Linked DNA regions of Xenopus tropicalis. The protein of the gene in region 2 purifies or fractionates together with the protein of the main gene of each other region. This does not show direct contact. Links are inferred from orthologs where the notes say so. Each region holds a gene or a part of one and is shown on either strand. Other genes may lie near its edges.

Region 1 (3,657 bases), on a different chromosome or scaffold from region 2:
ACATTTGTAGTCTAACCTTTACATACAGACTTGTCAAAATATGGTGAAAATCCATGGCTAATGTGCAATAATTGCCATTAATACTACATAAAAATCAGCAATACCTGCTTATACTTGCCATCTCACAGTGGGAGCTAAAAACCTGTTTTGTCTTTTACAGATGTGTTGGTGCCCGGCTCTGAAAAAGAATGCCTCTGGTTAAAAGAAACATCGATCCTCGGCACTTGTGCCATACTGCTCTTCCCAGAGGAATCAAGAATGAACTGGAATGCGTTACTAACATTTCACTGGCCAATATAATTAGGCAGTTAAGTAGTCTAAGTAAGTAGCTTTATACATGTTTAGGAGCTTGTTGTTAATCTGCTCTTATCTTGTATTTATGCTCATATTTGTGTTGTCGCTCTGTATAAAATATATGCACATAGAGTTCTGAAAATTTTTAGAAATCACTGATACATTGCACTTTTAGGGATATTATACCCTACATGTCATCCAGATATCAAGATGAAGCCCCAAAATGAAAATAGCGCATAGGAACTATCATGGCTTACATTTCAGCTATTGCAAAATCAACACATTTATGCATTTTATTTGGAGTTACAGCAACAAAAACTAAAGTTCATCCCAGAAAACCATATAGTTTTGGAAATGACCTATTCTCTGGAATCCAAAATGGCTGCAAATGTTTTTCAACTGCAAATTATTCCTAAACTTAGGTTTCAGTGACATTTCTGGAAACTTTTACTTTACTGCACTTTATATCCTACATATCATTAGTGCCATTAAATATGCCAAATAGGAATGCCAGTGCCATGAATGTTTTCTGAATTAACATTTTAGTGCCACATGCATGCTTATGTTTACCAAAGTATGTGGCATGTGGAGGCATCAAATGAAAGCCATGATAGTTCATATGCATGGTTATCATTTCTGCTAATTATGTGGTATATAGTCCCCTTAAAGGACAAGGAAAGGCAAAGTCACTTGGGGGTGCCAAAATGTTAGGCACCCCCAAGTGACTTTAATCGCTTACCTTGTACCCCGGGCTTATACCCCTGTTAGGAGAAAACAGCACCAGCCCGGGGCACTTTGGGCGATGTGCTTCCTCCTTCCTGCTTCGTTAAGCTGTGACTATGAGTTAGGCGCATGCACAGTAGAGTGAAAAGCCGACTTCTCTGTTAAAGTTCGGCTTTTCACTCTACTGCGCATGTGCGCGCGGCGATACAGGAAGGAGGAAGCGCTGCAGGTACCCCGGGCTGGTGCTGTTCTCTCCCAACAGGGGCACCAGCCCGGGGTAAAGGGTAGGCGATTAAAGTCACTTGGGGGTGCCTAACATTTTGGCACCCCCAAGTGACTTTGCCTTTCCATGTCCTTTAAAGCATGCAGGTTATAGCATCATATGGCCCGTATTTTTCTTTATTTACCATGATTAAACATCCTAAAACTAACACAGGGTTTCCCATATATATGGAATGTTGAGGCCCCAAATGGAAATACAGAAAGATTTTCCTGGGTAACTTAAGCTTTGTTATAATGTTATGCGTTGTAAAGCCGCCTTACCATAAAGAAAAAAATCTCAAAAAACCATATATTTTTGGAAAGTACATATTCTCTTGAATTCAAAAGGGTAACAACATACTCCAAACTACCGAACTGCAAAAGTACACTAAACTTAGTAGACAAGTAAAGAAAGGGGGATGGGTTGGATACTAAGAAGCAGTTACCCAACATGCACTTTACCAAAAAATGGTTGGTTTGTGAAAGGACCAGCCAGAGCCTGAAAAAGTTGTTTTATGTACTATGCGTTTTTGCAGTTAACATTGATTTTCTATTTTAATGCTGAATGTCTGAAGGTTTCTTTCAATTTAACACTTTGTTAATTATCTAGAAAATGGTACAGAAAAGAAAGCAAAAAAGGGAAAAAAAATTACAACACTGGAAACATAACATACTTAGTAGTAAAAATAGTAGAAACAAATGATGAAATAATTGGTCACACCAGTAACACTTATCAGTTGACTGACCAAATTATATTAACAGTCTAGTTTGCCAGTGTGTTTATTAGCCTACCTCTCTGTTTACCTTTGGTCCCCAGATGTAGGGCTCTAGTTCTAGAATCTTAGGCACAGAAGATTCTTCCAGCAATAAACAGTATATATACACAGGAAAATGAATAGAAGGTAGTGTTAATATTTATCGAGTAACAAAAAAACAATTTCTAGAGAATGCTAACTGTGGTATCAATATTGAAGCAACTGTTGATGTGTAATGCATTGTTCTTGTGTTTCAGGTAAATATGCAGAAGATATATTTGGTGAACTTTTTAATGAGGCACACAGTTTCTCCTTCCGAGTTAACTCTCTTCAAGAACGTGTAGACAGGTTATCTGTTAGTGTAACACAGCTTGACCCAAAAGAGGAAGAACGTAAGTTCTCTATGGCTTTTAACAAAATATTGTTTGTTTTGTTTTCTTTGCTTCATATCTTGCCTGTGCATATTTGAAAATTTTCACTGTAATAAAAAAAATGACTTGTTAAAAGGACAGGCAATTCATTGACAAGCTGACACAGCTGAACAGTTGCTATTGTCTGTAGCCAGCGCATGAAATAGGTCATGTGGAGTTCCACATTCCATTGCATTTAATATTACAATGAAGGAAAGCATTACAGTACCATTCCATGTATAGTGGATAAAATGCCCTGTCCTGCTTAATGCCATGTAACTTATCTGCTTACATTACAATGACCCTATTACTCCTTGGGGTATATGGTAGTCAGGTAAAATAAGATTATGATTTGTACACCTTTTCTGATTAAGGAATGCAGATTGTTTCATCGGTTAATATTCACTTGGCCCATGTATGGCCAGTTTTGTTGCGTTAAATAGTCTTCCAATGAATGTGGCTTTAAACATGTAAAATACTTTAGTACTTCTCACTAAAAATTAAATCTCTAAAGTGTCTTGTACAAAAATTTTCAATGTGTTGTTCATAATGTTGGGACAGGCAGCCTACATCATTGCATTCTAAGAAGGAAAATCAATGCTTATTAACATGTAATTTCATCACATTTGAATCTGAATGTCATTGTGCTAACTTCCAATTTGTTTCCATATTGCTTTTGTTCCTCAAGTACCCTTAACCCCATTAGATTGTAGGCCCCCTGATCCTATTCTTTTTTTAAACTTTATTTTTATTTTCCAAAAGTTTCACCACAGCTTGTTTATGAATACATACATTAAATAAATGCTTTACAGGTCAGTTGATGTTCATAATAAATTAAGCAAAACCCCAAACAATGTAGGTCTCTATAAAATATACTGCATAAACAAGCTCATATGTAAACCCTGCTTCATCTAAATAAATAATTTTCACAAAAATATACTTGTTTAGTATTATGGGCTATTGGGTAATCCTAAATAGAAAATTGCCTTATTCTATACTGGTGCAAGGGTTACCATGCTTGTATGCTATGGTTGCTAAGAGAATGGCATGAAAGCACCGTGGGCCATAGATGTCTCGGGTAGCATAACCCTTGCTTATAACTCTAGTGGGCTTATTTATCAATCTTGGATAAATTTGTGAATTCAAGTTTGTTTTTCATAATCAGATAAACTGGCATATCGAATGGTCATTTATTTATTAATAAGGTAAACTCA
Region 2 (3,657 bases):
ATTTTTCAGGATTCGTTGAGGTTTGGCATGGTGCCGAGAGACTGGCGAATTGCTAATGTGGTGCCATTATTTAAAAAGGGATCTCGTTCTCAGCCTGAAAACTATAGGCCTGTAAGTCTGACATCAGTAGTAGGAAAGCTTCTGGAAGGGGTAATAAGGGATAGGATACTTGAATACATTGCAGTTCACAATACTATTAGTTTGTGCAGCATGGTTTTATGCGTAACAGATCTTGCCAGACTAATTTAGTTGCCTTTTATGAGGAGGTGAGCAGGAACCTTGATGCTGGAATGGCAGTTAATGTCATCTACTTAGATTTTGCTAAAGCGTTTGATACTGTACCTCACAGAAGGTTAATGATTGAGGAATATTGGCCTAGAACATAATATTTGTAATTGGATAGAGAACTGGCTGAAGGATAGAGTACAAAGAGTGGCCAGTGTGGTTAGTGGAGTACCGCAGGGGTCAGTCCTTGGTCCTTTGCTTTTTAACTTGTTTATTAATGACCTGGAGGTGGGCATAGAGAGTACTGTTTCTATTTTTGCTGATGACACTAAATTGTGCAAAACTATAAGTTCCATGCAGGATGCTGCCGCTTTGCAGAGCGATTTGACAAAATTGGAAAACTGGGCAGCAAACTGGAAAATGAGGTTCAATGTTGACAAGTGCAAAGTTATGCACTTTGGTAGAAATAATATAAACGCGAACTATCTACTGAATGGTAGTGTGTTGGGGGCATCCTTAATGGAGAAGGATCTAGGGGTTTTTGTAGATCACAAGTTGTCTAATTCCAGGCAGTGTCATTCTGTGGCTACTACAGCAAATAAAGTGCTGTCTTGTATAAAAAAGGGCATGAGAACAGGGATGAGAACATAATTTTGCCCCTTTATAGGTCCCTGGTAAGGCCTCACCTTGAGTATGAAGTGCAGTTTTGGGCTCCAGTCCTTAAGAAGGATATTAATGAGCTGGAGAGAGTGCAGAGACGTGCAACTAAACTGGTAAAGGGGATGGAAGATTTAAGCTATGAGGTTAGACTGTCGAGGTTGGGGTTGTTTTCTCTGGAAAAGAGGCGCTTGCGAGGGGACATGATTACTCTGTACAAGTACATTAGAGGGGATTATAGGCAGTTGGGGGATGTTCTTTTTTCCCATAAAAACAATCAGCGCACCAGAGGTCCCCCCTATAGATTAGAGGAACAGAGCTTCCATTTGAAGCAGCGTAGGTGGTTTTTCACGGTGAGGGCAGTGAGGCTGTGGAATGCCCTTCCTAGTGATGTGGTAATGGCAGATTCTGTTAATGCCTATAAGAGGGGCCTGGATGAGTTTTTGGACAAGCAGAATATCCAAGGCTATTGTGATACTAATATCTACAGTTAGTATTACTGGTTGTATATATAGTTTATGTATGCGAGTGTATAGATTGGTTAGTATAGGTTGTGTGCTGGGTTTACTCGGATGGGTTGAACTTGATGGACAATGGTCTTTTTTCAACCCTATGTAACTATGTAACTATCTTTACCCTTTGTACAAAATACTTCATAAAAGGAATGATTTCCCACAAAAAAGGAAAAGGAAGACTGCCGCAGGCCGCCAGTACAGCACTGCCTTACAGAACAAAAACGTTTTTTTTTCCCCCATGATGTGAAAGTTATAAATTCCTACAACTGTTTATACTACCTCTCCTACTTGTGTCAAAAGGAATCACATCATAATGCCCCCACAAGCAATTTAGATGTAAGTCTTAACTACAAAAATGCAACTAGGAGTTTTAATGTGGTGGGAAGGGTGCACTGAAAAAGGAAGGAGACAGTTTCATGTATAGTGGTATGCATACAGAAAAGTGACAATAACTTTTTTCTAAATTAAATCTATTTTTCGTAACACCATTATCTTAAACTAATTTACAAATGTTCTCAGGTTAAAACAAATAATTCTAATTTTTTTGTTTATGTAAGAAACTAGTGATGACTGGGAACAGGAGCAACAAAAATTGGTACCAAGCTTAGTTTTACAATAGGGCTTAGGGGTCTCTAGCTAGAACAATGGCTTCATGCATAACAGTTATGTCCTTTAAACACTGTTTCTCCACATTTTCCAATGTGCACTGATTTAGCCTATTCACAAATAATAACTCCACTGCCTTACCTTTGCGCTGAATCATTTCTGATCGAACAGTCATGGCATCGTCAGTGGTCTCAGTGGCACAGGATAGAGATCGTGTACGGAAGCCATTATCAGTACTGTCTGGTTGGGGCTGCAGAAAAGTGAAAAACATAAGCAGGAATTGGCCATTGCCATTTTGTGAGGGAGTAGATAATAAATACAGTAGTAAAGTATAAAGTTGGCCACAAAGAAGCTAACGTTTTCATGCAAATTAAAAGTTATTAACCGATTTGACAATTATCACTAAGTGTTGTCCAAAAACAAAGACTCTAGCATATCAAACACTAGCAGTTTGTCAGCCAAAATGGCAAATGAGGCTTAATAATTGCCCAGTAAATGTGTTCTCGTCTGCACACCTTCTTCTTTGATATTCACTTGGTCTCCTGTTGCCTGACTACCTGGCCAGGCATCAGCCATATGACTCAATGAATAAGTACAATTTGTGATTGGAATTATTAGGGTTATCCCCTGATACTTGATCCCCTGATACAATGCTTCTTCACAAACCAGTCTGTGGCTTTAACAATCAAAGGTGTTCCATTCCTGCTTTGTACTTATTAAGGCTGTTTAACACCCCTTCCCTCCATCTTACACAACAGTCTTAAGGCAGCAATACACAGGCCAATAAAGAAAAAAAATGACTGTGCTGTGTATGCAGGGTTATCAACCACAGATAGGGTAGGTAGCCACCTGACCAGTAATAACATTTGCATTAAGCATAATTTTTAATATGGAAAAATATACAAATATAGGAAGGCAGAATCCCTATTTCCAGACCTTTGGTGACTAACTTACCAAAGGGCTCTGGTTCTCCTCTTGGGGCTGATGCTTGTTCTGCTGCTTCTCTGAGAGAGGTAAAATAATTGATTATTGAGGAGGCATAAGCTGAAAACAATATATTAAAATAACGATCAATGCATGTGTATCCGCAAAAACATACCTCTTCTCTGAAGTGATTTAAGGCCCTCCTGAGCTTGGTTGTGAATCTCCTCCACAAGGGCTGTGCGTTTTCTAGGAAAGAAGCCATTGTCAAGAGGTTCCTCTGCTGGGCTTGGCTTGGGTTCCTTACTGGGCTTTGTTTGTTCTGGAGGATAAATAATCATAATTCACAGAGGTGACACTGCTATATATTATAGTATACATAATATTATATTAGCATTTTGCACATTGCCTTTCTCATAATAAATGACCCCTATGCTGATATAAGTAAAAAGGAACGTCAGGAAAAAGCACCTAAGCAGATCTTGAAACTTAAGAGGTTAAAGCAGGACGCTGCTGATATCGGTCGACTCGCTGATCGGCCAGGTCAAAAGATTTTGATTGGGCGCCATAGAAGGCGCCTGAGCAAAATCTGCCGTCAGGGCTGAATCGGCAGAAGGAGGTAGAAATCCTATTGTTTCTACCTCCTTATCTGCTGTTTCAGCCCTGAAGGTTAGTGGCGGGTCTGACGATCTTTTGTGCGACCATCGCAGATCGCCACGTGTGTGGCCACCTT

Evidence for each region. Proteins that work in one complex are often made in the same cells at the same time.
Region 1: the proteins of kiaa1522 (region 2) and wasf1 purify together in Homo sapiens (affinity purification with mass spectrometry; 3 studies listed by BioGRID and IntAct, with this or other methods). This does not show direct contact. The link is inferred for Xenopus tropicalis from reciprocal best matches to the Homo sapiens genes NHSL3 and WASF1.

What each region holds. Positions count from the first base shown.
Region 1 is NC_030681.2:77,469,092-77,472,748, forward strand, and holds part of wasf1 (wiskott-Aldrich syndrome protein family member 1), read left to right. Parts: intron 1-160; 5' UTR 161-188; coding exon 189-321; intron 322-2,290; coding exon 2,291-2,425; intron 2,426-3,657.
Region 2 is NC_030678.2:90,225,733-90,229,389, forward strand, and holds part of kiaa1522 (uncharacterized protein KIAA1522 homolog), read right to left. Parts: intron 3,247-3,657; coding exon 3,103-3,246; intron 3,008-3,102; coding exon 2,958-3,007; intron 2,254-2,957; coding exon 2,145-2,253; intron 1-2,144. UniProt on the Homo sapiens protein: Able to directly activate the TNF-NFkappaB signaling pathway.